Mus musculus: one gene and its partners. The protein of the gene in region 4 interacts with the protein of the main gene of each other region in a biochemical or structural test. Links are inferred from orthologs where the notes say so. Each region holds a gene or a part of one and is shown on either strand. Other genes may lie near its edges. The genes, in order: Sorcs1, Lrpap1, Ngf and Sort1.

What was found.
Region 1: the proteins of Sort1 (region 4) and Sorcs1 form a complex in vitro, tested with the Homo sapiens proteins (2 studies listed by BioGRID and IntAct, with this or other methods). The link is inferred for Mus musculus from reciprocal best matches to the Homo sapiens genes SORT1 and SORCS1.
Region 2: the proteins of Sort1 (region 4) and Lrpap1 form a complex in vitro, tested with the Homo sapiens proteins (4 studies listed by BioGRID and IntAct, with this or other methods). The link is inferred for Mus musculus from reciprocal best matches to the Homo sapiens genes SORT1 and LRPAP1.
Region 3: the proteins of Sort1 (region 4) and Ngf form a complex in vitro, tested with the Homo sapiens proteins (3 studies listed by BioGRID and IntAct, with this or other methods). The link is inferred for Mus musculus from reciprocal best matches to the Homo sapiens genes SORT1 and NGF.

Annotation. Positions count from the first base shown.
Region 1 is NC_000085.6:50,217,957-50,225,836, reverse strand, and holds part of Sorcs1 (VPS10 domain-containing receptor SorCS1 isoform 1 precursor), read left to right. Parts: intron 1-607; coding exon 608-738; intron 739-3,600; coding exon 3,601-3,714; intron 3,715-7,880.
Region 2 is NC_000071.6:35,093,383-35,101,262, forward strand, and holds part of Lrpap1 (alpha-2-macroglobulin receptor-associated protein precursor), read right to left. Parts: intron 5,897-7,880; coding exon 5,775-5,896; intron 4,892-5,774; coding exon 4,771-4,891; intron 4,308-4,770; coding exon 4,149-4,307; intron 2,677-4,148; coding exon 2,594-2,676; intron 1,645-2,593; coding exon 1,468-1,644; intron 5-1,467; coding exon 1-4. UniProt on the Homo sapiens protein: Molecular chaperone for LDL receptor-related proteins that may regulate their ligand binding activity along the secretory pathway.
Region 3 is NC_000069.6:102,515,299-102,522,976, reverse strand, and holds the end of Ngf (beta-nerve growth factor isoform B precursor), read right to left. Parts: intron 2,867-7,678; coding exon of another isoform or gene 2,855-2,866; coding exon 2,129-2,854; 3' UTR 1,964-2,128; downstream 1-1,963. UniProt on the Homo sapiens protein: Nerve growth factor is important for the development and maintenance of the sympathetic and sensory nervous systems.
Region 4 is NC_000069.6:108,279,987-108,288,344, reverse strand, and holds the start of Sort1 (sortilin isoform 2 precursor), read right to left. Parts: upstream 4,282-8,358; 5' UTR 4,205-4,281; coding exon 3,905-4,204; intron 1-3,904.

The DNA of each region.
Region 1 (7,880 bases), on a different chromosome or scaffold from region 4:
TGGAATGCTCGCTCACACCAACCACCGTGTTTCTCTCTTTGATGTACGTGCATTGTGACACCCAAAACTTCTATTTAGTTTTTGGAAAAAGACTGAACTGAGCTTTCTTGCTTGTCTGATAGGCGATCATAGAATTGGTGCTATAAAGTTATGTAGAAAGAAACATAGTAATCTGAACTTAAATCAGTTTTATGTTTCATAGCAATGCTGTTCTTTCATGTGATCATAAATGACCAACTGCAATTCCTTTATAACAGGAAAACGGAACTTAATTATTATAGGTTAGCAGGCAATTCATTAGTTGCAGGATAGCCACATTCCGTGTCCTTCATTACACTATGCCTAACACACTGACAAAGAAAGCTATGCTTGATATATAAAGAGTTAAAGCTAATATTAGAAAAATAAGCATTGTTTATTGGGGTTGCCTTTGTGTTCATACTTCATATTAGGCGTCAAAACGGAAATACTAATAGCGTGAATTGGGTTCCCAAGGATCATATTTATATTAAAGTTTGTGAATATCTCTCCAAATCACACTGTGAGGCTGCAGGAGAAGTCTAATCTTTGTGCTTGATTTTGCATGCTATTTGCCTCCTATTTGCAGGGGGAAGCATGCATCATGGGAGCCAAGAGGATATACAAGAAGAGAAAGTCTGAGCGCAAGTGTATGCAAGGAAAGTATGCGGGAGCAATGGAGTCTGAGCCTTGTGTTTGTACAGAGGCAGACTTTGACTGGTGAGCTCCTGTAGTTATCCCACAGAACTGTTCACTAATATGACATCTGTGAAGCCCTGAATAAAAGCTTTAACTTGAGAAAGTGGTAAACAAAACTAGCGCTAAGTGGCAGACCTTATATTTTTATTAAATTCTCTCTTGGCCACATCACGATTTTTTTTATTAACTATGTGAATGTGTCTTTCAAAAGAAATCAGCGGTTTCTTCTTTGGATTTTAAGAGGGTTTACAAGATGGTTGGCAGTTATTTTCATATTGATGCTGGATAGTCAGAAAAATGGAGACGCCAAATCTATCTCAAGCTTCTTTAGATAGCAATATGGGAAGCACTAACTAGAGCTCCCAGAAAGCAAATATGTTTATGTGTTACGTAAAGTTGTTTTAGCATTGAGCATCCTTGGTAAGCATAATATCCACAAAAGACATAAATCCTTTGTCTGTGAACGTTTCCAGCCTGTGGTGGTTGGCTAAATGAAGCTTATGAGAGCATTGAGTGACATTTATAGTCTCAGTACAAGAGTGGACTCAACTTGATCCTGTGAACTGAGTGATAATAAAGCTAGTTTAACCTGGAGAGGCAGAAGAGACATTGGGAGGCTTCAACTAAACTCAGCAAGCACTAGAGTTCTTCCAGACATTTGCTAAACATTGGAGAGCCAATGATCTTCTTGCTTTATTCTTGTTTAGTATTTAATGAGCGGGTAAAATTGAAAAATTATTTAAGAAGTCTAATAAGCCACCATATTTTCTTTTGTTCTTTCCCTCTTTTTTATCTATTTCGGAATAGGAAGCAATTAATATATATTTATGTAAATGTTAAAAACTAAAAACTTGAAACATATATAAATTATTAATTCTTACTATTTTGGCTATGTGACTGTAACAGCTCACATGTATAGTGTCATCAAAATGTGAGTGACTTATGTGAGACACAGGCTACACATGCATCTCAGACCATAACCAGGTCAGTCTCTTCTAATGGTAGACCACTAGAGATGTTCTCTGAATTAGAGGTGTTGAGAAAGCCTGCCAGTTGTCAAACAAGTAACCCAACATTGCTTTCTCTTGTTGATGAGCAAGAAAGACCAAGAGCCAGCATTTTAGCTCTTTGCACTTATTGGAGGGTATCAGAGCTTCAGCAATAACAGAACTCATGGACGTTCTACAGGGGCTTCCCCTGTATGCTCTTATGTCAGTGATATGTAACTGCAACAACAAAACTGCCTTATCTCTACCCTGAACTTGGGACTGATACCCAGAAAGATACTCACAGAAAGACCTACCTTGAGATTTTGTCATCCATCACATCCCTCTTTCTGAAGCCTAATTCTTGATCATTTACTATACTGAAGGAGAATTTGCAAAGTAAGTTGGCATGTTATATCACTGGAAGAACTATGGCTCTGTGCAGTATCCATTCTTCATACAGAACAAAAATATCTGCTAGAAGGAAATGTAAGAGAAAATGTACCCTAAAATTCTGCCTTTTTCATAAAAAACATTTTCCTCTTTGAATCTTTCTTCCTAAACCATTTCAACATAAGCCAATATTTTGGTTTTGTTCAAGGCAAAAAAGAATGTAAGATAAGGAAATAAATTAGGCTTCTCTCCCTATTCTTGCCCCATGTCTGTCTTGTTTAGGTCATTGAATTCCACTGGTGACTGGAGTCTGCTACCAGTCCCAGAGGCTGAACAGAACTCTAAGGAGTAGACCGTGAGTCTTAAGTTGTGCTCCTGTGTGGTTTCTTGCTCAAATGGGACTACATGATGATGAAAATGTTTTGGAAGGCTCACTGTGTGCTTGTTGGGCTTCTTTTAGAAGCTGGATTTTCTACAATCTTACCTGATAGTAGCATAATGAAAGATGCTCATTGGATGTTCTTTGTTAGCCAGGCTCCCTGGATATTGTCCAAGTGACACTGCGTCATTCTCCAGCTTTTGTCGGGCATTTCCTTGAAGTGAGCACTGGGTAATTCTGGAAGTGGCTATTCTGTCATCTTCCTACTCATGCTGGGTTGAACCAGGCCCTAATCTAGAGGGATGTACAGAATATGAAGTTCCAGTTGTCTGATGACAAGCCCTTGAGGCTGAGCCCATTTCTCCCTCCATGTCCATGGTGTGCCAGCATCTCACCTCTATCACAAAGATGGACCAATTTATACTAGTGCTTGCCCATTGCTGCCTGTGATTTGTCTGTGCATGTAGAGGTACAATTTGTTGTCCTTTTCTGTGCCCAGTTTTACCTTCCAGAAGCCAAGAACATCAGAGGTCCCTGGAAGCAAGAATGAATAGAAACCAAGAGAAAAAAATTAGAGCATTTTCAATGCAGAGGCAAGATTTAAGGCAGTTGTTACCAACTGGTAGTGAGAAATGCTGAGGACAAAACTTTTCCTTGGGGAAGCGCTTGAGAGACTCCTGAAGGGCATTTTCTTTTTGGCTGTAACTCTGAAGCATATGGCTTATACGCAGAGAAACCTGGCTCTTCTCTACTTGTTACAGCCAGATGTTTTGGAAGAGCATCCCAAAGACATCACTGGTAATGAGGACTGTACCACATGTGGCTGTTTTCACCAAGACTCAAGCTCCCGACTCAGCCATGTTCCTATTTACTCTTTCTCATTACATGAGACCAAAGTCATTCCTCTCACCTTGAAGGCATCAAAAGGGGAATATTGGTTCTATAAGATATTTTCATGGGTAATAGATAATGTATAGAGAAAAACTTTTAAGTCCTAGAAGACTTAAGCATTTAGGCAATGCTTATTTTATTGACTGATTAGAAGTTGGTTGTCAACTACTATGAAATAGTTCTGAATAAGTTTGCCATCTGGTAAATGTTTCGTCTTGGGTATGTCCCCAACAGTGACTATGGCTATGAGAGACATAGTAATGGACAATGCCTGCCAGCATTTTGGTTCAACCCATCCTCACTGTCAAAAGACTGCAGCTTGGGACAGAGTTACCTCAACAGCACTGGGTGAGTTTCTGTGGTAGTAGGCTTCAGGGGCCAACCTTGGATGATGATGTTACTCTGACACAGTTCCTTCTGATCATACACCGGACTTGTTTTCCTATAACACAATGCATTTTTGATAGAATGTCATTTCTTGTCACTATATTGCTGCCATTAAACATTTAGCATGTGTGTTTATGTGTGTGTATGTGTGTTTGTATGTGTGTGTGAGAGACAGAGACAGAGGGGTATGTGTGTATGTGCAAGGTTATGGGGATACATGCTTTGGAGGCCAGGGGTTGAATTCAGGTGTCTTACTCAATTGCTTCTCAATGGAATATTCTGAAACACCATCTCCCCCTAAATATAGAACTCACCATTTCATCAATAAATGGTTGGCCAATGAGCTTTAGGTATTTATCTGCCTCAAGGATTTATAGTGCCACTTTGCCTAGCTTTTCACATATGCCCCGAGAATCTGATGTCTGGTACTTCCTCATGGTTGCATAGTATGCTATCTCTCCAGCATAGATTTCTCAGCTTTTTGGCTCACATATTTAATTTCAAAAGAAATATACAGGTATGTTTTATTTAGTTAAAAGTCCAGTTTAGTTCATCACTCCAGTACTGGCCCCATTTTCCTCACAGCTCTGATCTCTATGCTGTGTAAGTTTCCAGACATTTTCCTTGCATTTTTCCAACAATAAATTTCTCCAAGAAAAATACATAAAATCCACATGGAAGATGACTGTTATATGGTTTGCTATATTTGTTATATGTTCTTCTTTAATTTGCCTTTTTCACTCTAAAAATATATCTTAAGCATCTTTACAGGTCTGATTAGATCGGGCTACTTTCATACCTTTATATTGCATCCTATTCAATAATAAAGCATTATTTAATTATTATTTTTCATGGATATTTGGGTTATTCTGTTTTTTTAAATGCCACTATCAATAAAACTACAATTAACATTCTCTACCACAACCCTTGTTGTTAAAAACACTCGTAGATAATTAGAGTTTCCTTTGTTAATTAGAAGTGTTTCTTTTAGCTTATAGAGCAAATTACATTCAGCCAACTGGTTTCTTTTTAGGCTCATGTATTAGGCATTGTCAAATTTTCTCTCACAGAGATGAAAATTGCAGTTTCTGCTCACATACTGCTAGGCTGTTCTAGAGACTAAAGAGTCATCTTAAGTAACTTCCATCCTCTTGAAAATCCAGTGGATTCTGCCGAGGAAAACTTAAATGGAAGAGAAGTTGAGAAAGGTCAATTCAGATTCAGTGAACAATAAGACTGGCCCAGTTGGCAAGAGCTACTTGACAAAGTCACACTGTTGTTTAGAAGCCTTTAGAATTAAGTAAGCAAGTTGGACTAACTCCAACACTACCTTTAACCCTTGTCTATGCATTGCCAGGATGCAGTCTGTATCAGCAGAATGAAAGGCAAAGGCCTCAGGGTCATAAAATTAGCCTGAGAGCATGCGCTTGCCTGCTTCTGGCTTCCTAGACACAACACTCCCTCACGCCCTCACGCTTTGTCGGGTTCCAGAGCATGTTGCAGACATACAGGCAGAAGACGAACTGAGTGAGGTCTTCTAGCTAAAGGTTAATCACAGTGATGGTTAATGAACTAACCACAGAGCATGTAGCAAAGTCTGGGTCTCTCTCTCTCTCTCTCTCTCTCTCTCTCTCTCTCTCTCTCTCTCTCTCTCTCTCTCTCTCTCTCTCTCTAAATGGTTTGCTATATAAACAGTCAGCTTTAGACTCAGCATATTTGTCTTGGTATATAGCAGTGTTCCTAGGTTCACTCACTTCACCAGAATGGAAATTTTCATCATAGGTTATTATTCTTACCAATGAAAATGTTATTTTAAGGAGATACTAACATTTTTTTTTTGTAATCAACTTGACTGTGCAGAGGTGAAGGGCCTCACAGTTTGTTCTGCAATTGCTGGCCAGGATTTAGAAGAGACAGTTATAATAAGAAGTAAATGACTGAAAACAGCACCTACATGTCCTCTACCTTTGTTTAGTTCACTGATGTCAGGATTTCTGACATCCACACATAGAGGTGCCTGTCAGCATCTCTCTCCTCTGTATCCTTGTCTTTTTGGCCTCACAAGTCTTACACATTATCACATCCAGAGTCCAAGCAAAGACAATGAATCAAGTTTTCTACCGCAGAGGAGCTAAGATTGCAATGCCATTGAATAACTTTCACTTAGTTCAAAAGTGAGGTCCCTTGCTATTTGCTGTCAGGTTTGAGCTGTGGTTTGTTTCTTTGTGCCTCTCAGTTTCTTACCTATGGAAATTTCTTATTTGCATTCAGCTTGTGATTAAATGTGGTACTATATCGAGAATGTGTAGACTAAACCCCAAGAGACAGTCATTACTTTGCAAGATACAGATCACTCTAGAATAGGGGATTAAAAGAGAAAGGAAAAATCCTTTATTCATTGTGAATGTTTAGTAGAGGCATACATGACCTTTAACGGCCACTTCAGTGTTGGTGTCAGTGACATATTTAATCTACCTACCAGTTTCTCATCTATAAACTAGAAATAGTGATCAACAAAGGCTCATAATGTCACCTGATTAGGAAGTGATGTGTCAACTACTGTTATAAAGTCACATGTCTAGAATGAGATAGACCACTCACTGTAAACCAGAAGCTGTGTCTATTCCTCTACCCTGTCCAGGCCAGGCAACTAGTTTGCCTGATTATCGAACAAGTTCTGTGGTCTCAAAAAAAATATCCATTTCTGTTTTTTATTATATAAAGATAAGCAGGTAGCCCCAAGGAATCCCCTGTCTGCCCCACCTTTTGTGTCTTCTTAAGCAATGGCTTCATATATCTCAAGTTGTGAATGCACAAGCTTATTAGGTTATATTTATATGTTGTGTTTTAACTGTTTGGAACTAGAGAGCAAACTGCAAATTAAAGTTGCTAAATTAACCAGGACATTGGTTATATTATATTACAGTGAAAATATGGGGTCAGTTTATTCTACAAAAACAAGGCAGTTTTCTTAAGGGACAGATTTCTTCTTTTTATTTAGTTGAAGACATTTCTTGCTGTGTTCAAATGGATGTGTGTTGAAATCTCTGTCCATGTGAGTTTCTTTACAGGAGCCATTAATCGCTCATGGAGTAATATTCAAACACTGTTGTTCATGACTAGCTGCTTAATATTTAATAGGGCTGTTTACTTAAGATGCTCACTTAAAATAACATAAGTGAGGTATCTATATAAAAATATTTAGTAGGTCCATCAATAAGTATCACATATACATTTAAGCAAAGGAATAACTTTCATATTATTACCTTATTCCTTGATGTCATAAAAATAAGGTGTTTATAAATATAATCTTCTCCCTACTAGCCACAGACACAGACCTGAGTAATCTGTTCTCACATAATGTCTATACCCAGTATCACTGTGGGGAATTTGAGTTCTTCCCACCTGATTATTCCGGATGACCTGTGGGGATCCTGATGTTCTGTCTGATCTATACTCTGTGAGATTTCCCAGTGTGCATCAAGGAGAATAATTAGTCTTAAAATTGCTGCATGTGTTGAAAGTCCACAGAAAGGAAATCACTTGCATTATTTACAAACTGATCACTGCAGGAGCCCATGTAGTTGTTTTCGAGCCAGGACTCCTGTGGTCTCAGAGTGGATACAAAATAATTGTTACCTGCTAGGAAGTCATCTCTTAGATGAGGTGTTCCATCTTTTCATGGGATGGCATAGCAGTTGGGAAATAGAGATCCACTCCTTCACATTTTTGCTTCCATCCACATCAATAATGCTTCGATTAGAGGTTCCCACACAGGTGCTGTGACATTCTGGCATTGATAGTTCTTCATTGTGTGACCTTGGGCAACTCTGTCTCTCCTTTCCATGTTATCCAAAGCAAAGTTACTATAGTAGCTGTTTAAGGATGCTTTCACCACTTTCATTAACGGGTTGAGATAATTCAGAAGTAAAGTTCCTTGATCTGTTTATGCTCAAGAAAAAGGAAAACATTGAGATTTAGTTGTACAAATTGATTCAGATGGTGGATTCACGAAGCCCCACTCAAGACTGTTTCCAGCAAGCCATTTAGACAAGTGTGACCATATGTACTATTTCATCAAATCTGTCTTCAAAATGAAGCTATATGCATTTCTTATTCAAATTGAG
Region 2 (7,880 bases), on a different chromosome or scaffold from region 4:
TCACCTGTATAAGGGGACACCTGTCAGTGGGGACACCATGGCAAGCCTGCTATCACGAGATCACATGAGACAGCTGAAATCCAGTACTACACACTCTGGCTCATCTTCCACTACATAGCCACCCAGACCATGTCATAAGTAAGGACAGAGCTCAGCGCAGACTCAAAAACAGAAGGAATGCTAAAAAACAAACAGCTGGAAGCAGATCACCCCAAAAGACAATGACACTGTGGAGACTCTATGGTGGCTCCTGAAGGAGGTGACTCTTCCTCACAGTGGTGGATGCCTACAGGGGCGGTCACAGAGAACTCTACTTCTGACCCCTTAATTCCACAAGGGCACAAACAGCCACACTGACCTATCAGACACGGACCTGGCTTGATCTGTGGTTTTAATGAGTTCTCTCACTGACAGCTGCTAGCACTACCCTTCATATGTGACCTGTGGTTTGACGTCAGTAGCTGGCAGGTCTCAAAGCATACTATGGGGTTCTGGCACCCCTAGTTTATGGTCCAGATTCACAGGGTCCCTCATTGCAACAAGTCTCTTGGTGGCCAGGGCAGCCAAGAATGTGCTTGAATTTTAGTCCTGTGAAAACCCCCAAATCCTATGGTAACCTCAACAATGGCCTCTGAGCCCCAGAGATTTAGGCTCCTGCTGTTCTATGCACTATTCCACTTCTCAGAGCTTATTTATCTTTGCGCAGTTAACTCTCTGCTCAACCTGAGAAGGTATAGGAGGGAATCGCCCATGCTGGCCACAGCCCCAGATCCTTCATGAGACAGGTGTGCTGGGTCCTCGGGGTTCCCAGCACATGTGGGGACTGCTGACACAGCTGGTCTGCCTTTGCTTGTTCTGCTTCCACTAACCCAGAGATTGTTTCTTTTTTTTTTTTTTTTTTTTTTTTTTAAGATTTATTTATTTATTATATGTAAGTACACTGTAGCTGTCTTCAGACACTCCAGAAGAGGGCGTCAGATCTCATTACGGATGGTTGTGAGCCACCATGTGGTTGCTGGGATTTGAACTTTGGACCTTCGGAAGAACAATCGGGTGCTCTTACCCACTGAGCCATCTCACCAGCCCCCAGAGATTGTTTCTTAAAGGGCTCCTGGGGACCCCACTGCCTCTGCAGGCCACCTATGTCATATCCCCGTGTGGCCAGTCTGGGATCCAAGCGCACACCTCAGCAGGCCAGGAAACAGCTCCCTGTCCAGAGGCTCCCTTGGCTGCTACGACGCTGGCTGCCTTCCATGTCTATCTACAGGCATGCACATCTGATCTGACATGTTGTCTACAGGCACAGTGTCTGCTGAGCATCTCCCATGCTGAGTACCCAGCCACTCACAGTTCCAATGGACTGCATTTGTGTTTCCCTGAGTCAGGAGGTCATGTTTGTCTAAGACCCAAGGGAAGGCTGAACAGGACTGGGCGCAGGGACAGAGGAGTGGAGGACGGCATCCCCACCTTGTAGCCCAGCTCCTTGGTCTTCTCCTCCAGCAGCACGTATTTCTCCTTGTTGCGGCTGATGTGCTCGGGGTCGCCGATGCTCTCCACGTGCTTCAGCTTCTGGTGGGAAATCTCCAGCTGCTTCTGGTAGTGGTTGTGCTTTTCAATTTTGGCCTCAAAGTGCTTGAGCTCCTCCTAGGACACATCAGGAGCTTAGTCTCCCCCCAGTCGGAGCCCTGAGGTGCCTGTCTCTTGTCCACCGATGGTCCAGGCCACGGCTGGCAACTCCCGGGCTGCACGCCTGAGAACTGCACATGCTTACTGCTACGAGTCTCTAAACAGGGATTGTCCACCAGAACCTGATAGCAGTGGGGACCTTTGAACTCCCATCCCTGGATACCTTCTTTCCCGATGACTCGGGATGGTCACCCATCTTCTACCTTCAGGAGATCAAGACTAAGGCAGGCTGGATTTGGGGATCTAAGGTCTCTTCCCAGGGCCACAAAAGCTACACCCTCGTGAGGATAGCCTTGTGCCCACCTCACTGGCCCTGCCCCTTAGGGCTCCTTTGCTTCTCACAGGTTGCCTGCTGCTGGAATCTTCCCTGCCTGCTCCCTTTACCTCCTGGGTCCAGTGATCACTGGGAGGTCAGTGGTGGCCTCCAAAAACGCCACCTCTGGAGCTCCTTGGGCACAGACACACTGGAGAAGTCTTGGATGACTTGGGGACCTTGACTATACAGGTCCCAAGCAGGTCCTATCCTACCCTAAACAGCAAGAAACTCTCAACAATCCCATTCAGAAGGTATTGCCCCCATCAGCTTCCTGGAGCTCCTCCCACACCGCACGCTGGGCCAGGCACATGGCCGCTCATCCCTCTCAGCCCTCACAGCACAGAGCAGGGCAGGCCACCCCACCATGCTGCACACAGGAAGCACTGGCACTGCTGGCGTGAGTGGCGTGTGCCCGCCTGCTACCACTTGACTGCCGACCAGGATGATGGGGACAGCAGAGGCCAGGGGCAGGAAGGAAAAGGGTCAGGACAAAAACACAAATGCACTGTGGGATGAGGAAAAGGAACAGAGAACCTGGCCCCATTGGAGACCACAACAGAAGGCGACACAGCTTTGTCCCTGTTTCCTTACCCTGAATGACTCCAGTTCCTTCTCAGTGAAGTTGGCAGACTGAGCCAGGTCCCACAGATCTATCACCCGGGGCTCTTCAAACTCTGCAGGAGAGCAAGGGCTGTCTATAGGTGGCAAGTCAGGACACACCTCGGTGCTGGGGGCCAAGTGGCTTGTCATCCCAAGGGAATAGTGTGGGTTGCAACTTGGGAGCACTAAGTACCTGGTCTGTGCTCACAGCTCCAGCTTAGATGCAGCTTGATTGAAACCCGGCTGCACCAGTGGAGGGGGTCACATGCTCTAGACCCAGAATCAACTGCTACCCCTGCCCAGGGCCATCAGCCTGCTCCTGGCTCTCAATCAAGGGGGTGGGGGAAGTGACTGAGAGCAGCGGTGTGACAGGACCATAAACATCCAGCTGGGCACTAGGGAGGGCTGTCACCAAGTCAAGGCTGAGGTTTGCCCATTCACATTTTAGCTCCCATGATCCCTAGACTAGGTTCCCTGGCCTCAGAAAATCCTGCTGTCCACAGGGCCCTTCCCATCCATGACCCAGGAGAACCCTGGTTCTCCAGAGAATATAGGAGTTAGACCTATATTCCCACAGGCAGGCCAGTGGGAGAAGCCGAGGGACTTTTTGGATGCAGCTCTCTAGGAGATGGCCCATGGAGGGCAGGATGGTGGATAGAGAAAGTGGTGACACGCAACACTGACCATGGCCAGGCTCCCTTTTATAGCCCCACTGGCCTGAGACAGCACGCAATCTCTGGAGAGGGAGCAATGACTTCACAACAGTCCTTGAGCCCAGCCCCACAAGAGCACGCCATGCCTGCAAGGCCTTGCAGGTGCTCCCCAGAAGGTTTGCCTGGGCCCATGCTGTCTAAGGCTGTTCATGGAGGACTTTGTCTGTTGCGGGACACAAAACTAGCCCTGCCTCCCCAGTCCCCCACAATGCCGCCTCCTGGAGCCCCAGGGATAGACAGCAAGCCTGGCCCTAGCACTCATGTAAGTCTTGAAAGGGTGGGGTTGTCACTGCAGCAGAAGCTGGCACCCTGTTTGATACAAGGGCCATAGGCCAGCATGGACCTTTGGCTATCCCAGACTGGGCTCCACTGGCAAGGGGGTTCAGAGACAGTCCTGTGTGACGTTTACCAAGGCTGAAAGACAGCCTGGATGGAGGGCCACTCTGCTACCACTTCAAAATAAGTTTGATGACAGGGCTGATGGCCGACCCAGAACAATTTTCAAAAAAATTAACCTTTATTTTATGTGCATGAATGTTTTGCCTGCATGTATGTCTGTGTACCATAGGCAGACAGTGCCCGCGGAGGCCATTAGAGGGCACTGGATGGCCTGGGCCTGGAGTTACAGATAGTTGTGAGCTGCTATGTGGGTGCTGGAGATAGAACCCAGGTCCTCTGCAGTAGGCCAGTACTCTGAATCGCTGAGCCATCTTCCCAGCCCAGACACTTATATTACAGCTCCAGGAAGTGGGGCCCAGGACAGGCCACTGACAACTGAGTATGACAAGTATCCTAGATACTCCTGGGCCCATGCACCTGTCCCCAGGGCTTACCAGTGGTGGAGCCATAGCCCTGGTGGCTGACCTTCCGCAGGCGGTCCAAGCCCTGGTTGATACTGCGCAGTCTGTCCTTCAGCTCACTGTGCTTGCTGATCAGGGTGTCGCTCTTGATGTGGGCCATGTCCGAGGGACTGAGAAGGTTCTCATAACCTTCTGTGGAACAAGACACAGAATGTTTGACAAGAACTGGCATCTTAGTCGCCAAGATGGCTCCACGTCCACCCACAGGCCATACCTCTGCAGCTCTCAGAGCTAGCTAATAATGGATGTGCTTTCTCAAAGCATCTAAGTGTGGATGTCTCAGCACCTGTACCCAAGGCTTGCCCCAGGGGTCTCCATGGTCCCTAATGCCTCCTACTTTCTCAGGCCCCCTACTTGGCAAGGTCACACTACTTAGAACTCACGGTGGCTGGCTTAGGTTAGAGCGGTGGCCTGTTACATCAGGGCACCTCAGTCACCCCAGAAGCAATCTGTAGAGCTGTACTGACTGATATAAAAACCGTATGCATTCATGAACATGGGTAGAAACATAAGAGAAGCGTTCCCCTCCCCTCCCCACAACCCTAGGCAACCGTGTCCCACTGTGCCCACCCAGAACACACGGGCGTGGGCAGACCTTCAGCTCTGCTCAGTGTGTCTAGCAGCACATTGTACTCCTGGATCTTCTCTTTGTAATGCAGAAACTCTCTCCACAGCTTGTCCAGCTCTTCACTGGAGAATTTCCCTGATGTCTTTGCCTAAGAGGAAACAGCCTGGGTGACCATGTCTGTCCAGTCATCAGCACACCCCAAGGAGTTAGGCGCCTATCAGCTGCGTCCTTGCTCCAGGGCAAAGAGCTTGGGGCTGTTCTTACCCCCAGCAAGCCTTGTGACCCTCTCCTAGGTGTGTGCACCAGGAAAAGAAAAATCAATTTGGAAGCTCCTGATGGGCAGTGCCTCTGTTCCTTGAAGTCCCGATTTGACAGGACTGGACAGAGAAGGAAAGGGAAGGACTCTGCGGAAGGGGCCTACATCTGCCTAACTCTTCCCGCTGTGTACACATTGAGAACAGCAGGGCCATCCTGATAGTCCAGCAGGGACCAGATCAGTGTAACCCAGACAGGCTATCCCAGGAGCTGGACCAAGTGAGCCTGTGGCACCGAACCAATGCCATATCCCAGTGTTCACCCCACACCTGTGCTCTTTGCTTTGTCTGCACCACAAAGCAAAGGTGGGCCACACCCAGTGCTGCCCACTTTCCCAATCACAGTATCAAGAGCCCACGCCAACATCTGTACACAGCTGAGGGTCCCTTTCCTAAGCCCAGAAGCAAGACCACAGACCAGACAAAAGAAAGGAAACACAGCTACCTGACCTGACTGACAACTGTGTGATTTAGCCACACACCGTGAAGAGCACATCTAAGACTGCAGTCCTGACAGCTAGGAGCAGCTCTGCTGAGCAAGAGTAACCAACCAGGACAGCTCAGACTTCACAGAAAGGAGAACATGCGCACAGATCATGTCTCGCGGTGGAGCCAGCAGCCTGAGTTGGTGTAAAGGTGACAGCAGACACAGAGCCCCCCAGTCCCACATCGTTGGCACGTGTTTCAGAAGACAAGGGGGAAAATGGGAGGTGGTACCTTGTGCCACAGCTTTTCCAGCCTGGGGTCCCCCAGCTCATCCTGGGTGTCTTCATTGAGGGCGTTGCTGTGCACCATCTGGGCGTCCTTCCTCCCATCCAGTCCGTATCTGGCCAGGATGACTAGAGAGGGGGCATTTGATTTTTATTGGACACTGTCTCCCTTACTAGGCAGAAGCTGCCACAGGAGCCTGTACAATGAGTCTGCTTCTCCTTTTCTAGAAGATTCCTTTCACCCCCCACTGAGCGGCTACACGAGACCTGGGGGAGACACGCACCAGCTTAGGTTCCCAAGGCCAGGGACTCACAAGGCATCCTGGGTTCCAACACAGACGCTCCCTGCTTGAGCCCTCCTAAATCAGGAGCTCATGGGCAGGGAGGGTATGTGCTGATGTTTGGACTGAGCAGTCTCCTGACATCCTGTCAGAGTGATGGCTAGGAGAGGCTGGCCAATAGGCACCTAGCCTCTGAGATGTCCAGGCTCTATGCATGCCCACAGCCCTTCCACTCTGGAGGTCTTGGCACCCTTTGTCACTCACACACAATGGGCAAACCTGCCAGCTGACTTCAAAAATGACTGTCCTGTAACTTCCATGCCCCTGCCAGCCAGACTACCCTGGAACTTGCATGCCACGTGAAGCCACCCATGCCTGCTTGGTGAGAGGGCTTGCTTGATCCCTGCTCTTAAGGGCAGAGAGACTCCTAGGCCTAACTTCTGCTTAGCTGCTGGGGATCTGTCCCTCACCTGTGACCCTGTCTTCTCTGGAAAGGGTACAGAATTTCTGTGGTGCTACTTTGTCATCTCTAAGCTGGTGATCCCAGTATTTTCTTGGGCCTTCATCCAACAGCTCTCATTGGGCAGTTCCACATGGCACCATGGTCTCCATGCCCTAGTGGGTCAGGGGACACATGGTTCACAATGCAGCCTCCCACACTGTTGCTTCTGATGGGCTCTGCTTTCAGTCATAACCTACCCTGCAAGTGTCCCTGCTGCTCAGTTTACACTCTGGGGGATGGCTACCCTTTTCCCAGGCCTAAGAATAATGGTGCTTCATAGTGCCTAGAAGCTTGAACCCCCACTCCCCTACCCCCGGAGATGGGAGTAATACACTGCAAGGCTTGCATTCCCACTGTCCTGCATCTCTGATGACCACAGAAAGCCACTTCTACTGATGGGTCAGGAGATAGCTGTGAGAGGACAGCGTGGGTGCGTACACCGTGACTTGATCTGGACTCCATTCGATCTAACTTAGATCTTACAAAGCTATTTTAAAAGTGGGCAGTGGCTTGAGCTTCTAACCTATGATGATTGGGAGGCTTAAGCAAGAGGAATGCTTTGAGTCTTGGCGTTTGGGCGCAGCCTGGGCAACACAGTAAAATCAGTACGCTCAGATACCTCTTAGCCTCAGAGCCAGTGCCTGGCACTGCCTCTGCAGCTCTGCTGCCCAGCCCCAGCCTGCTCATTGCTTGCTTGCTACCATGGAAAAGAGCTGGTCACCCCCAACCTGGGTCGCCTTGGTGCCCAGGGTGGGTCAGGGTAGGAGGAGAACTAAGTGGGGAACTCGAGCTCCATTAGACTTGGGCCCATAGGCAAATTGCTCAAGACTTCAGAGTTGAGACTGAGCAAGCTCCGAAGTGCTTGCTCTCTATGAAATGGAGTCCCAGGGAGCTGAGCAACTCAGGAAGTTCCCTGCAGTGTCCAGGCCCAGCCTGGGGAATGAGGCAGCCCTGGGAATGGCAGTGGGCATGTCCCTGAACAGCTTCCCCACAGGACTGAGGCCATGTGAGGTTTTGCACTGGACCGGAGGGTCTAGATGATGCAGTTCCCATGAGACTAGCCCTTAAGGATCTGGCCTGGCCCAGGTAGAGCTGGTTATAGTTAAGGGGCCCAACCCTTCATATGATTACCAGCAGCATCTGTTTCTTAGACAGAAACAGATAGACTCTGCATTTTGGTCCCCCAGATGAGGGGCCAGTATTGACAATAACTTGAGCAGTGAAGGGAGGGTCCAAATGGACCACACCCAGAAGGTGTCCTGCACCCATCTCCAACAGCAAGAGCTCCACCAAGGGCTTAGAAGGGTCAACTTCATGTGTCAGCTCCTAA
Region 3 (7,678 bases), about 5.8 Mb from region 4:
TGGTGCAGGAGGCCCATTTCTACCAGTAACTATAGAAAGAATTTCTCTTGTGGAGATGGGGTGTCCTCAACCAGTTTCCGTTAGAGATCTGGATGTTGAGTCAGTTCTGTAAGCTGGCCAAGGAGAGCCAATGATAATTTTTCAGATATTCCCAAAGAGTCTGGCAGCCCTGGGCACAGCTCTCCAGGCATGGCTTTGGTGGTATAGCCACTCCGAGGCACCGCTGCTCTGCGTAGATGCTTCCAGAATATCTCCCTCACCATTACTCTCCTCACATCCAGGACTTAGCAGGTCTGCCTCCTAAGAGAAGAGCTTCATAGTCTGCTCATGCGAGGGGCCTGGGACTTTTGAGGCCATGGAACTGGAGCCCTGCAAAACCCACAGACGCAGGCCAGAGGGAGAGCTCCCCTTATCTGACCCAGCATCTCAGCACAGAATGTTCTGGTTGGTGTTTCTTGAACATAACTCTATTGCAGTTGCAGTAGCCCTGATAGAAAAGGCCATCACCATCCTCCATCAGGCTTTCACCCTAGTCTAAAGGTCTGCACTGCAGTCTCTCAGTTTCCTGTTTGCCCCATTTGAGTGAGGGTTAGGGTGGGTCAGGGCAGGGAGGTGTACAGAGGAATTGAATGCAACCTTTTTTAGCTGATGGACAATTTGGGATGTTTTTTTTTTTTTTTTTTTTTTTTTTTTTTTTTAAAAACAGAGTAGACATTGTTATCCTTGGAGGAGAGGTGTGGACAAAATCTCCCTGTGAGGTTTCCTATTCTAGGGGGAAAAATTGTGGCTCGAGGGAAAAACAATAAACAAATAAACAAGATGAAGGGTGTGGGGACTTTGACTATGTGGAGCTGGTCATGCCCTGCTTCAGGGAGGATCCCGTAGTCTCTCTGTTGCCTTTATTGCTCTGGAGACAGTGGGCATGAGCACATTAAAAAAAATTACCCCTTCTCCAAAACTACCCAGGGAACTGGCTGTCTAGGAGGAAAGGGCCTTGGTAAAGGATAGACAGCAAGTATGTGCACATGTGTACACACAACACACACACACACACACACACACACACACACACACACGCAGGCATGCACCTATGAACAGAAAGCAGCTGTGTCATACTGGCTTGGGCTTTCCCCTCTCCATCTTCCAGAGCTTGTGTTGGTCTTACTATATCTGTTCTACCTCAACTCTCTGATCTCTACAGGTCTTGTCCCAGCCAGCTCTGTTCACTTGTGGAAATCATCTAAGTAAGAGTAAAAAACCTTCAGAAGTTCCTTTCTGACCGGTCCCTGCCTTTCTACTCGGAAGCCGATGCTGGGTTGCCAGGGCCACCGATAGTTGCTACCTGAGCTGTTCCGGTGCGTGGGTGGCAAGAGGTTTGGAAGCCCTGCTGTTTTCTTGTGGAAGTCTTTCTGCAGGCAGCCACAGGGGAATAGTAGAGAAGCAGCCATCAGAGCAAAGGCAATCTTAACATGAAACCAGATCTGCCATGACAGGCCTCAGGAGATGATTTTGTTACAGCTCCTTCAGGCTGCCCATCCAACTGACTGAAGCCAGGAGACCCGTGAAGCCTCTACTTATCCACACTGGGAGTTCCCAGTATCCTCGAGGACCAACCTCAGTCTCTCAGAGACTCTCATAGCAACCTGCTTTCTGCCCAGTCTCAACTGCTCTACTCTCCTCAAGAGAGGCAATCAAAGCTCATGGATCCATGCTTAGCAGATAATCCAAGGATTTGGCAGACTTGGCTCTGGAATGTAGACCAGAGCCTGCAGGCTGACTTCCCTCGCTAATCATGCTGGGTGGGTGTAGAGCAGTGTCTGAAACTAGTTAGCCAGCCCCGGAGCAGGGCTGGCTGGGAATGAAGGTTTCAGATGGGCTATGGTGCCAGGAGTGATGGGGACAGTTCATTTCCGCACTCTCTCAAACTTTGTGGGTACTCTTACTGAGAGAAAGGACTCAAGTGTCGGTATACAGGATGCTTTGAAAATTTAATAAATAATGTCTTTAAAATTGTATAAACGATAAATTATCATGCAGTCCTTATAATTTAAAATAATTTACAGGCTGAGGTAGGGAGGGGCCCAGGAGAGTGTGGAGGGGGCAGGTGGGGAAGGGGGCTGCAGGCAAGTCAGCCTCTTCTTGTAGCCTTCCTGCTGAGCACACACACACAGGCTGTGTCTATCCGGATGAACCTCCAGGCAGCCTGCTTCTCATCTGTTGTCAACGCCTTGACGAAGGTGTGAGTCGTGGTGCAGTATGAGTTCCAGTGTTTGGAGTCGATGCCCCGGCACCCACTCTCAACAGGATTGGAGGCTCGGCACTTGGTCTCAAAAAAGTACTGTCTGAATACACTGTTGTTAATGTTCACCTCGGCCAGCACTGTCACCTCCTTGCCCTTGATGTCTGTGGCTGTGGTCTTATCTCCAACCCACACACTGACACTGTCACACACTGAGAACTCCCCCATGTGGAAGACTGGGTGGGTGGATGAGCGCTTGCTCCGGTGAGTCCTGTTGAAAGGGATTGTACCATGGGCCTGGAAGTCTAGATCCAGAGTGTCTGAAGAGGTGGGTGGAGGCTGGGTGCTGAACAGCACACGGGGTGAGTGGAGTCTCCGTTTCTTAAACAGTCTGGGGTCTACAGTGATGTTGCGGGTCTGCCCTGTCACTCGGGCAGCTATTGGTGCAGTAGGGGCACTGCGGGCTCTGCGGAGGGCTGTGTCAAGGGAATGCTGAAGTTTAGTCCAGTGGGCTTCAGGGACAGAGTCTCCTTCTGGGACATTGCTATCTGTGTACGGTTCTGCCTGTACGCCGATCAAAAACGCAGTGATCAGAGTGTAGAACAACATGGACATTACGCTATGCACCTGGAATAAAAAAAGATAGAGGTTACCTAAGTTATACTGGGGAGTGGTGTTAAGCATTATTGGGAAGGTGTCATGCTCCCTCACAGGGTTCTCCCAAGAGGATGCCAGGAGGCTTCATTGGTAGGCTATGGGTAGAGAGCCTGGATTCAATACCCAAAGTAGAACACTTGTGAGAGAAAAGTACGGGCAGCAATCACACTTGGATCTCTGGAATTAGCCGGAGCAGGTTGTGTGGTCATTCTGTTCTGGGAAGCAACAGGGTCCTGCCTAGAAACTTGGGGGTCTCACTCTTTGGGTTCTGTGACTGCCAGCTTGAAGGGCTGCATGGTGATGGTGCCTGCACCCTGAATGTGATTCCCTTAGGAAGGTTCTGGAAGGCATTGAAGCTAGTGTGGCCTGAAGCATCAGCACTGGATTTTTTTTTCCTTCACTCAGTAGCTCTGAGCCTGGAGACTGAGCATTCTTGAAATAAATCCACAAAGCATCACAGGTAACTGAAAGTTCCGGGGGGTGGGGCATTCTAGTTAGGAACCGCCATCTTTCTTTCCTGTGTAAGGAGGCCAATCCACAAGGAACCAACCTACAGGCAGAAGCTAGGACAGAAAGATAATCAAACACCCCTTACCAAGTCCGTGTGTATGTCTTCCCTCCTTCCCCTTCTCTCTTTCATTTTTGAACAGGTATTTTCTTTTTCTTGCTTGAAGGTGAGTATAGAACAAATATCAGGCTCAACCAAGCTCACCCTGAGTGACGCTAGAGTCAGCTCTGTTCTGGGGACCATGGTCCTACCCATACCGAGCACCAGCTCACACCTGCAGATTTGGATCAAAGGCCACCTCCTTTGTGAAGCTTCTGCAGATAATGGCTGGCTCAGAGGGCTCTCCCACAGTGTTTCCCAAGCCCCCAACTCATCTTTTCTCTCATCTCCTGTGCTGATGGATCATTTTGCCTCCTCCCCTATTGTTTCAGCCAATTTTGGACATGTCCTAATCCTTGAAGCTTTCTCTAATAACTCTAACATAAGTGCTCCATCTGTCTGCCTGTCTCTGTATTTCTATGTGTTGTGTGCGTGTGTCTGAATGCATGCATGTGTACTCTTTCCTGCTGAATATGTATCTATATCTATATGTCTGTATGTCTATATCTCTATATGGCTATATCTATATATATTTGGAACTGAGAAAATTTGGATATCCAGCTCAGGTATTTGTCAGCATTTGAAAGCCATTTAATCAACTGCACTTTAGTTTCCTTGAGGGCAGTAAACATGATTTTCCAGGCTGAATATTTAGATTAAGCACGTGTTGATTCTAAGCTATCACATCTCTATTAAGACAAGGACTTTGTCTTCTTTAGTTCTATCATTGCTGTCCTCCCTCTGGGGCCCCTCCACCTGTGGGTTTTCAGAGCATATTGTTTTTCCTCTCTCAGACTTCTATAAAGCCTGTGCCTTTGTTCACCCCGTGTCTGTGTGGTCCTAGAGGACACAGCCTTGTGTAATCTGCCTGGGTGGCAGCCTCCTCCATCAGTATGGGGACATGTATCTTGTGCCTTTCCTTCACCTGGTGATGTGGATAATCATTCTCATGTCTGTCTCCCTCCCAGATGGTGCTTTAGAAGCCACGTGACTTTCATTCCATTCAATCACTGCATGGCCATATACAGTGTCTGGAATGTTATAGCTCCTCAAGAAAGAAGTGGAGAATGAGGAAAACATTGAATGGAGATTTCAGAGAAGCCCACCCTTTGCTTTCTATTATAGTCATGGGTCCTTTTGACTGTTCCCAGGGCTGCACAAGGCCTTCTCATCCGCATTCAACCAGTGAATCCCATATAGTGCTATTCTTCTTGGTGGGATCCAAGAAAAAAATCCAACCACATTCTTTTCTCTTCCAGGAATGTTTTTTGTCGCTCCACTTCTCCAGCCACCCGTACAGAGGAGGAGGCAGTCGGTACCTGAGTTTTTGACTCCCCCTCCCAGATCTGATGGTAAAAGGTCTTGCTGATAATTGTCTTGCCAACTCTTGGAGAATTGATCATTCTTTTGGCAGCTCATCCAGCCTTTTATGTCTGATCCTTTTCTTGTTCCACGCCTTTCTTCTCGGTACGCATTATCTTTCATCAGGTGAATTAAGGCAGAAGACACAGAACTCAAGTCCATACTTTTATACCCAAATTGGTAACACCTGTTAGAACTGGATCAGGAACTGAGGAAAAGTTGACCAGAGTATAGGGTTTCAATGGAAACAAGGCCTGCCTTGCTGTTTCCCATTGTCTCATCCTGGAAGCTCCGCTGGGGAAGCCCATCTTCTTCTAAGCAGACTGCTGACTCCCATAGCTCCATCCCTGGCCCACCTGCTCCCTTGGAGCACCCTCTAGACCTCCTGCTTCCTGAGGGCATCTCTCTGTGGATATTGGCAGTCTCAGTGCAAGACATCACTGAACAAAACCTTCATGTTCAAGTCCACCCTTGTCCCACTTTCATCTTCTGGATCAGAAGTAGTAGCCAAAACCACCTGGTTTCTTCCCCCTAACAGTTCCACAGTCACTCTCTCCATTGTTCCTGTTTCTCATTCTCCTAAGTGGCGTCTTCACATTTTGCTTTCCCATTACTAAGAACATTATGTGTTCATTCACCAGCTGCACATCTCAGCTCGTCCTGGCCTCTGGTCCCTGCCCTTCATCCAGACCTCTCTATGTTGTCTCTCCAGTTCTGCTGGAGTATCGTTCCCTGGAGCTGTAACTTCCTTTCCAGCCTCACTTCTGTGTTTTGGGTTCAGATGGTGGGACTACATTCCACCTGATGTTCTGGACCTTCCTCTGGTGCCGTCTCCCCTGACTTCCACCATTAGGCTTCTTAATGCATTGTTCTGGCCTCAGGAACTCAGTCAAAGAAGCCAGTGGTGAGCCCTTGTCTTTGGCTCACTCAGCCTGGCAACTGCCCCACCTCCTCCCACTTTACCTCGCATCCCACACACACGAGCTCTTGGCACAGCTCCTGCCCTGTGCTTGGGCTCTTTCCTTCTGGTATGCTTCCCCTGCACTCCCCGTCCCCTTTCTGCTCTCTCTATCTACTGTCAGAAGCCATCCTGTTGTCTCCCAACCTCTAACTTCAATGGCATCACTGCAATAACTTCTGACTCTATGCCAGTGGTTCTCAATCTTCTTAATTCAGTTCACAATTCAGTTCCTTATATTGTAGTGACTCTCCCAATCATAATGTTATTTTTATTGCTACTTCATAGCTGTAATTTTGCTACTGTTATGAATCATAATATAAATATTTGTGTTTTCTGATGGTCTTAGGCGACCCCAGTGAAAGGGTCATTTGACCCTCAAAGGGTAGGCTACCTACAGGTTGAGAACCATTGCTCTAGGCAGAGAAATTCTCCCTGGTACATTTGTCTTATGACAGGTGTGTTCTCTTATCCTCTCTGATGGAGGGAGAGAGCTCCACATAGGCAGAAATCTGTCTGCTGCCTTGTTGTCTCCTGTGACACCCACACCTCAAAAGAGCATTCCGTGTGGAGTCACCTCTTTCCTTCTGAGTGTCTTGACTGCTCTACCTGGGGGCTGATATTTAAGGTGTCTACAGACTCTGACTTTCTTAATTTATGGAATTATAAAGTTCTCTACTCTATATAGCACATCCTCACTCTATACAACAGACTCCACAATGATTTAAACTCTTAATGCTATCTGTGGCTTTGCTGTTGGGTTAGCACATGGTATCCATGGTCATTCGGTGGCAGTGGAGACTTGCATTATGGACAGATAGATAGTTCATTAAGAGTTGATCCCTTCAGTTTTTTATTAAAATGTAATTTGGGAAAACCATATTGATTTACTCAAAATGGTATGTTCCCAAACTTTAAAAAAATTATTAGAAGAGTCTCATAGTTATTGGAAAGTACAGAAAAAGAGAGTAGTAATCCACACTGTCTTCCATTCCAGTGACACAATGCCTTAGTATCAAAGAGCATTCTCTCCTTGAATGAAGTGAGCTAGGGACGGTTGATTTATTTATAGTGAACCTTTAAAGTCTGTGTCCTGAGCAGGTGGCAGCCCTCTGTGTAGCATTATGGCACATGTCTGAGTGAGACGTTTATCTGGGAAGGGAAGCTAGGGCTCACATGAAGGAACACCTTCCGTTTCAGGTATAAATGTTCTTGGCTTTGTCATGCTTCTATCCAGAATGGAAGTTAAGTGGCTGGGAAAGAGAGGAGCCTGTTCTCGGGATAGCTTTGCCCCGCCTCCATCAGCACTCTTTCCCTGGCTAACAGAGTGTTCTGTGGATTACCAACATTTACCTACAGAGTAGAAGATGTTCCTGTACCAGTGAATAATCTTTACACAGGTCTGGCCCTATCTGACTAGGTGATGAAGCTGCCAGTCAGAGCTAAACCGTCAATCCTAACTGGTCCTTGTCTTAAGTTGCCAAGAGGCTTACCAGCTAGGCCTGCAGAAGTGCCTCATAGATGGGAAGAAGAGAAATCTCTGTCTTACAGAGAGATGTTAAGAGCTAGTCACAATTCTTGGGCTAGAGATCAGATCTGTGAACCTGGGTCATCAATTGCTGGCCAGAGAAACAATTCTTGTGACTAAGAAAATCCAGCCTCCTCTACCTCACTGGCTGCAATCTGACAGAAGGGTCAAGAGGGTCACATTTTGGTTTCAACTTGGCCTCCGTTCTAAATGTAAGATGGTTGCTGGTTTCCATTTCAGGACTCGAGAATTTTGCTAGAGCCTACAAGGAGTATAAAAGGAATTCAAGGGATCCTTAACTCCCTTGGGAGGGATCCATAAGGTGTC
Region 4 (8,358 bases):
GTGGGATAAACTAGATATGGACATGGAGTGTGGGAAATGGAGGGAGAAGGAATGAATACGGGGTAACGCTGGGGAAATGAGGCAGGCAGGAACTTCTGGGATAGTAAAAGGCAACAAACAACCCTCAGCTCTCCTGCTGTTACAAAGGTTTGGTGATCCCCAACAGGCAGAGAGCAGCAGCTCCCTGCACCAGCCAGCAGACACACTGAGTCCTGTCAGCCTGGCCTCAGCTCTGCCAGCGGGGCAAACAAACACAAGCATTCTTCCCGGTGCTGAGGCCTTACAACAGCCTCTCTCCAGGGCCTGTTTACTTAAGAAACCAGATGCTTTGATGTCGGGGTAGGAGTTGGGAAGCTCTGTGTAAAGCAGTAGTTAGTGACAGGAGCAGGAGAGGGAGAAGAGAGAGTGCGCAACAGCTCCTGGCCTATTAATCCTAACTTCAGGAACTTTTAAGGAAATTATCCAATGGTCTGTAACACAGGAATGAGGAGGGAATGATGTCAGCCTCCGCTGCAACTCTGGCCAAGGCATTTCTGCTGTTTCTTTCAGGCTGACTTTCATGCCGACCCTCAAAGGGGTGCTTATGGGGCGGGGGATGTTTTGAAGCAACCCAACTTAGCAACCAACGTTAATAAAAATCTTCTGGGCCTGCTCAGTTTCTCCCATGTACACAGGTGATGTGTGCTGTGAACACGCCAAGCACACAAAGGCCACAGTCGGTTAATGCTGGGGCCTGACACCAGTTTGGGACTACAGGTAAATAAAGGCTACTGCGTCTAAGAGAGTTTGTGGACGATCCCTAACAGGGAGAGCAAGCGCTTTGTAACTTACTGGGTGTAAGTCTCAGGGACCGTGAATCTGCTAATACGGAGCATATTTTTATACAGTCCTGTTTGTTTCTCATAAGCATGCATGCTTAGCTCCATTTTAAAGATTAGGACTGAGACATGGAATCTTAAGTAACTTAGTGAAGATAACATAATACCAGCGAGGACCCACATGCAGGCAGGGCTGGCCTCACAGAAAGCCCTGTGGTGCTGCAGCACCTTTCCCTGGCATGCCAAACCCTCAGAAAGAAATCAGGAAGTATCTTTTTTTTTTTTTTTTTTTTTTTTTTGGTAAGATGTAAGCGGTGACCTTCGGCCTGCGTCTTGTTGCCATTCTTTTTCCTGTTTTAGTGACATCCAGTTCTTCTGTCACTTTCTTACAAGTCTCCTGTTCCTATTGTCAATACTGTAACTAGAAAAAAAAAAGTATTTTCTCTGCTCCCTTAAATCCCACAGAGACCTGAATCAAGCGAACAACACACGCCTTGAAAATAAACACGGCCCACTTGAAAGGCTGAAAGGAGACCTAGAGAGAGGCAGGGGAGCTTACGGGAAGAAGATTTCATGAGTGACAGAGCCCATGCCACAGCATAGGGTGGAAGTCTCGGAAAGTCATTAGACAGGCATACACTTTGTTTTGTGGATTTCTTAAGATTAAATGCTAGGGCTGAACATATGGCTTCGTGGCAGGCACTTGCCTAGTATGAGCAAGGCATGGGATTCAATCTCCAGCGCACGCTGAAACCTTTAGCGGTTTATGTACTGTCAAGTCTGAACTACCTTTATAACTTGGCAGCCCCTTTCCCCACCCCATCTCCGGGCCTTTGGAAAGCATTCAGGTGCACTCATGATAGGACACGAAAAGAACAACAGGCTGTGGGAAATAAGAACTTCTGCTTTATGGGGGAAAGGTAAAAAAAAATTAAAGAACACCTTCCTACTTCAACTGTCTGAGACCATACAGTGTCTCCGATGATAATAAATAAGTAAACACGCTGCTCTGGGACGCTGCTGATTTTGTCTCTCCTTGTTACAAAGGATCCCCCAACACCAGATCTCTTCAGTCTGATGCATAAAGATGAATTATGACATCTGAAAACAGCAGATTATTTCCCAATTCCTGAGAGGAAGCAGAACCTTCGCAACGGTTTCTACGCTGAAGGCTCCACTCTGGAAGGGTAACAACTGGGGTGGGAAAATCATTTGAAATAAAGACTGAAGGGGAGAAAGCAAGCTGTAACTAAGTTAAATGAACTCGAGAAAGCCCCCTGCGTACGAACTTCAAAGGAGAATCAGGTTTCTTTGGAACTGGTATACTCTAAGTGACATTCAACCGGGAACTGTTGCGGATTTGAAGATGGGTCATCCAGCAAGAGAAGAATTGAAGAATGTCGGGGCTTGCTGGTGCAGAGAGCTGTGGGCCAGGGATAATGGGCATGAAGTATCAGTGGTAAAGGTAAATTCTTTCTCAACACCCTACAGAGAGAGAGAGAGAGAGAGAGAGAGAGAGAGGTCTACACAAGCTTATTTTACTTTTTCATTAAATAGGAAGACTTTCCAGTACTCATTCCATTCTCTCTGATCGGAGAATTAGGTCACAACTAACAAGTATGGATCTCAAAAGAAACCCCAAGGGGACACTGAGATTTGGGGGGATACTGAAATGGAATGTAAACAAAGAACGGGTACAGAACTCCAGCCACCCACGGCCACCTTCATGAACAGTCTTTCTTTGGAAAAAAAGGAAAGACATAACACAGAAAATACACTGAACTGAAAATGCCTTTCTCATACATGGGTTGCAACAATTGTTAATTTTAGGAAAAAAAAAAAAAGAGGAGGAGGAGGAAGATGTCCTAGTTGCTGAAACCAAGACTTTCCTAACAATTTCTCAATGCAGCAGTGTGTCAAGGTTCAGACTCTTGTGCCCAAAACAGAAGCACCAAATCTTTGAAAGTCTTGACAAGAGCAGGCTTAAAGTGACTATCTGCAGAATGTTTCATAGTTATTAGAAATTAGGACAGGATAGAGGTGTCCCAGTAAGGGTTCAACACAAGGTTATAAGTCAATTTTGAAGGAATGAGACAGATGACAGGATCTCAGCTGGCTGCGGGTCACACACAGAAGCCAATACCAGTTCTTGTGCAAAAAGAGTCTCCTAATAGGTCAACTTACAAGGAAACAAAGCACACTGGAGCCAATCTCCAGAATGGGTCTGGAGCAAAGGGATTTAAAGATCCTGTAGTATGCAGAAAGAGGGGGCTGACTGGTTACAAACCAGACTCTTGTTTGGGACAGTTGGCCACTCTGTAAAGCCATTTAATGGAACTTCTGGATGATCCGAGCTGTTCTGCAATTGCTTCTAATCTAGGTCCTAGAGGCCGTTTTCTGTTCTCTGGGTTCTGCACACAGGAATTTGGTTCGGAATACCTCTCAAGGTCGTTTTGGGTCAGGTTAGAGGGTTCTGAGCCTGCATCCTGAGGAAACATCTTGAATCAGTTTTTTGTTTGCTTGTTTTTGTTTTTAATTTTAGGGAGCAGGGGAGATATCATTTCACGGTTGGGTTTCAATGTCATTTTCATTTCCATGAGTGTTCCTTTAACTATGGAAACACAAGCCATGACCTAACAACTGCTGTGGGATTTCTGGACGTCAACCTCAAAAGTACCGACCCAGGGAGGGCACACCTCTGCTTCTGGGCTGTCCAACTTCTGCGATCACTCAAGGGGTAATTATGCCTCCAGCTTCCTGGTAGGTACCAGCGTTGGTGGACCCGGCGTTCTATATTCGGGGTGGGGGTTGGGGGGGGGGGGGGATGACCGGGAGATTCTGACAACTTAAGAAGCAGAAGCAAAGAATGCAGCGAGTCAAAGTCTCGGATTGCCTCGGCTATGACGACACACAGCCCCACGGGCCGCAGCCACCCCGGCCCCCGCCGCCCCCGCGCCTCGCCGCCCTCCGCAACCGGGGTCTCGCGCTAGCCTCGAAGCGTGCAATGGGAGCGGAGCGGCCGCCTGGGGCCGCGGGCCCGGAGGGGCGACCCAACCGGGGCGGGCGCCCGGGCCTCGCGCGCTCACCTGGTGCGTATTGTTGGTCAGCTTGGCGATGAAGTCCGGGAGGCGGCCGCAGTCTTGGTCCTCGGCGGGCGCGCCGCGGCGCCAACGGCCAGCGCGGGGGACGGGGCCCCCGGGCGCGGCGGCGCGCAGCCCCCAGCTCACCCCGACCGGACCGGCCCAGCGCAGCAGAGGAGGCGCGGGCGGCGGCGGCGCGTCCAGCCGGTCCTGGCCGACGGCGGCAGGAGGCAGCAGTTGAAGGAGCAGGAGGAGGCCGAGGGGCCAGCGCAAAAGGCCGTCCGCAGCTCCCCGGGGCCGCTCCATCGCTGCCGAATGCAGACGCCGCTGACACCTGCCACCCGGCGCGCCCGCCCACCCCCGCCGGCGCTGCGCCACACCCCCGAGCTCGGCCCCGCGCTGCTTGGATACGCGCAGCCGGGCCTCTCCTCCCCAATAGGCTGGCCGCCTGTCCTTCTTTCCCGGCCCACTCCTCATTGGCTCGCGTCGCCTCCGGCTTCGGGGGTCCTGGATTCGGATGCCAAGATGCGGGACTGATTGGCTGGAACGTGGCAGGGACGGCTGAGGTCATTCTCCACCGTCGCTCGGCGTCTGCGGGCTGGGCTCCCGGAGTTGGCCTAGGGGTTACCCCTCTCCCCTCCCCGCTCAGCCTGCAGGTTGGCGGCGCTTCCGGAGACCCTCGGGTTAGGGTTGGGTCACGTTGCCGCCTTCTCCACCCTCCTCCCAACCCCCCTCCAAACGCTCCTAAAAATTTCCTTCGGTGGAAACCGCGCCTGGGAAAGCCAGGGAATCCCTGAACTACTACTCTCAGTTGGAAAAGGGGCTCCGACATAAACTGGTACATTAGGATTTTAACCCCGGCTCGCTGGCTCGCCCATTGTCTGCTGAAGGAGCCAAGAAGGTGAATGCGAAAATCCTATGGGGCAGATGAACATCATTACACCCGTGTCTCATGGAAGCCGCAGAAGTCTTTCCAACATGTTTGGCCTCAGTCACCTTCCTCATCTGCAGGGAGGTAGTCAAGAGGCGAAAGTACTTTTTGGCTTCTGCGGACTTGGAAATGTAGGTAGCTTTGCCACCAAGTGTAGGTATACGGGAAGAGAATTGCCTAAAGCCCACTTTATATATTATCATTTTAGTACAGTCACATTCTGATTTTAGTTACCTAAAGCACCCTTAGCCCTGCAGTAAGTGCATCACACCAATTCCCTCACTGAATATGATGCCTCCTAAATGAATACCCACCTCCAGCAAATAACCTCCCCACTGTTCCCTACACCGCAGAAGCTGCTCACACAACTTTTAGAACATGCAGTGCTGGTAAAACCAGTTCTAAATCCTTAACTTCACTCCACCTCTTCCCAACATTTCAAGTTGTTCAGTCGGAACTCAGGAAGCCAGATAAAAAGATACAAAGTATGCAAAATGTTATACCAGAGTGGAAGCCATTGGAAGTTACTTTTAACTTTAACAGTAAACTCAAACGGCAGGCCTACCCGAGTATGCACACGGAATAGTACAAACAAAACTATTTACGTACTCGGGAGTTTTTCCTCTCCCCAAAACCACAGTAAGAAGGGAGCTGTGAAGCTCTGGAAAGCGGAACAGGATGGCAAATCAACAGAAAAGCCCTCCAGTTTCTGAGCCACTGAACAAGATAAAAACTGATGAGTGTGTTTTCTTTCCAGAAATATAAACGCCACATTATTTATTTTTAAGCACAACTTATTTTTAATTCGTGTCAAGTATGGATTAGATCACAAGGCAGTCAGTTACAGTAGCATGTGACCAGTTACGGAGGGGAAAAAGGGGGCTACAAAGGAATATTTCTTTGTTTGGGTGACAAAGATGAATGGTCTATTGTCTTACTATGGGGAAAGAAGAAAGCTAACTCAACAGTGCTACCTGCTGGAGAAACTACCAGATACATCTTTTAGCTATTTAGTTCCATTAACGTTTAGATTTTGTCAGTTTGTTGAACTGGGGAGTCTTTTTTTGTAGCCCAGGGTGGCTTAGAGTCTTTGATCCTCCTTCACCAGCCTCCCAAGCAAAAATATCAATATGAAGTAATTATCACAAAGCTATACCTTTTTGTATGTAAGATCATTTCTTGAACACAACATTTAAAGAAAAGTAACCATCTCTTTGAATTATTCACATTGTAATTATAGCAGATAATGATACTTACTGTTCTCAGTTATACAGACATCCTGCCTTAGCAATAGGAGGGACTGTAAGCTGGAGGGCTACACTATGTTTTCCCTTCGCTTTTTTCTCTGTATATTCTTGAGTGACACACCTCTTCAAAGCAACGTATTCTTTTCCACATCTGCATTAATCTATAGTGTTAAAAGCAGTACTGGACCTGGAGCAACGGCTCAGCAGTTAAGAGCTTACAGGATACCTGGGTTTAGATCCCAGCACCCACGTGGCAGCTCACAACCACCTGTAACTCCAGTTCCAGGGGATCCAATGCATTCTTCTGACCTCCTCAGGCTCCTCATATATACTTGGGTACATGTGCGTGCGCGCGCGCACACACACACACACACACTCACTCATACACATTAGAGATGATTGCCTCTTTTTCCCACTAGAGGTACTTTTCTTAGACTGTGGGAGACTACAGATGACCTTTCACAGCTATGACAGCTTCCCAATAAAATTCTTAAATGACTGGTGGTTAGAATATGCTTGGGCCAGAGAGTGGCACTGTTAGGAGATGTGGCCTTGGAGTGTGTCATTGTGGGTGTAGGCTTTAAGACCTCATCCTAGCTGCCTTGAAGTCAGTCTTCTCTAGTGGCCTTCAGATAAAGGCCTCCTGCACCATGCCTGTCTGGATGCTGCCATGCTCGAACCTCTGAACCTATAAGTCAACCCTGATTAAATGTCCTTATAAGAGTTGCCTTGGTCATAGTGTCTCTTTACAGCAGTGAAACCGTAAGACAATGACTAAGTTGATACAAGATTCCAGGGGCTAAATCTCACATGATACAGGATTAACATCATAACAGGATTAACATCAGTAGAAATCTGCAGAATGTTGAAAATAAACCCAAGTTGCTTTCATTGTATGTGTGGGCAAAACTTCTTCCTTTGCTGAACTGATGTTTTCAAATGTGTTTCAGCACACGCTACTTTTCACTACACTGAATTTTGTATGAAATCAGCTACCATATTACTACTATTTAGTATCAGAGTACAATTTCCTAATGAAAGATTACACAAAGCCCAGCAAATAATTCCTAAGCCATCAAATGAACCGCAATTGACTAGAGGACTAGCCATGCTTCAGCCAATGCAAACCACATCTCAAATTGCTGTTGAGACTTGCTGGTTACTCAAGACTTGGTGATCTGAAACCTTGAAAATCTTGAGATCAAGTCCCAACAGGTTTTTGCTAATTTAAAACAATTTTTAATTTTTAAAACTCCTGTGGATATTGTCTTCATGTCTACATAGCAGGTGTATGCCTGGTGTCTGAGGAGGCCAGGAGAGAGTGCATCCCTGCCACTGGAGTTATAGATGATGGTGAGTTGCCATGTGGGTGCTAAGAACCACACCTGGGTCCTCTGGAGGAGCAGTAAATGCTCTTAACCACTGAGCCATCTCTCCAGCAACAACTTAATTTTCTATGTCCAATGACCTAGCTCTTTATCTGTTAGGAGTGTTAGGAGGTTCAAATGGAATGACTATGAGTCGCAGCCATATGGGAACAGCTCCAGTTTATAGTGCATTCCAAAGTCCAACAGAAACTCCTTCTGAATTTTACAATTCTCTTATACAGCTTAGGTATGTAACTCTCATTGCAACTGAGATCAAAACCAAGGCCATTTCTTTTTTTTTTTTTTTTTTTTTAAGTCCCCTTTCTAAGTTTTTTTGCAGCTCTTAACTTCATAAAAAGGGTACTCTTCCCAGACTGTCCATTAAGACACAAAGAAGTAGCCCCAGGAGTCTTTTGATGGTCAATGAGCAGTGTTCTCATATAAAGGAAGCAAGAGTGTATGTTTCCTTAAGAGACACTCAAGGGCCAGGCAGTGCTGGTGCACACCTCTAGTCCCAGCATTCGGGAGGCAGATCTCTGAGTTCAAGGCCAGCCTAGGCTACAGAGCTAGTTCCAGGATAGTTAGGGCTACACAGAGAAACTCTTTCTCAAAAACCAACCAACCAACCAACCAACCAACTAACCAACCAACCAACCAACCAACTAACCAACAACACCAACCCACTCAAAGACTTAAAATGGATTTCCAGTCGTATTAACATCTACTAATCACTTGGGAGGAGCTGGACTAGTCTGAATTAATCGTCCAGTATCTCAGGCTACAGCTGTCTGAGTTGCAGAGAACCACCACAATGTGTTTAGTTAGGACAGTCATGCTCACAGGAAAGGTATGAAGGGCATTAATTACTATCATCTTTGCCTACCAACATAAACATTTAAAATTATAAGATCACAG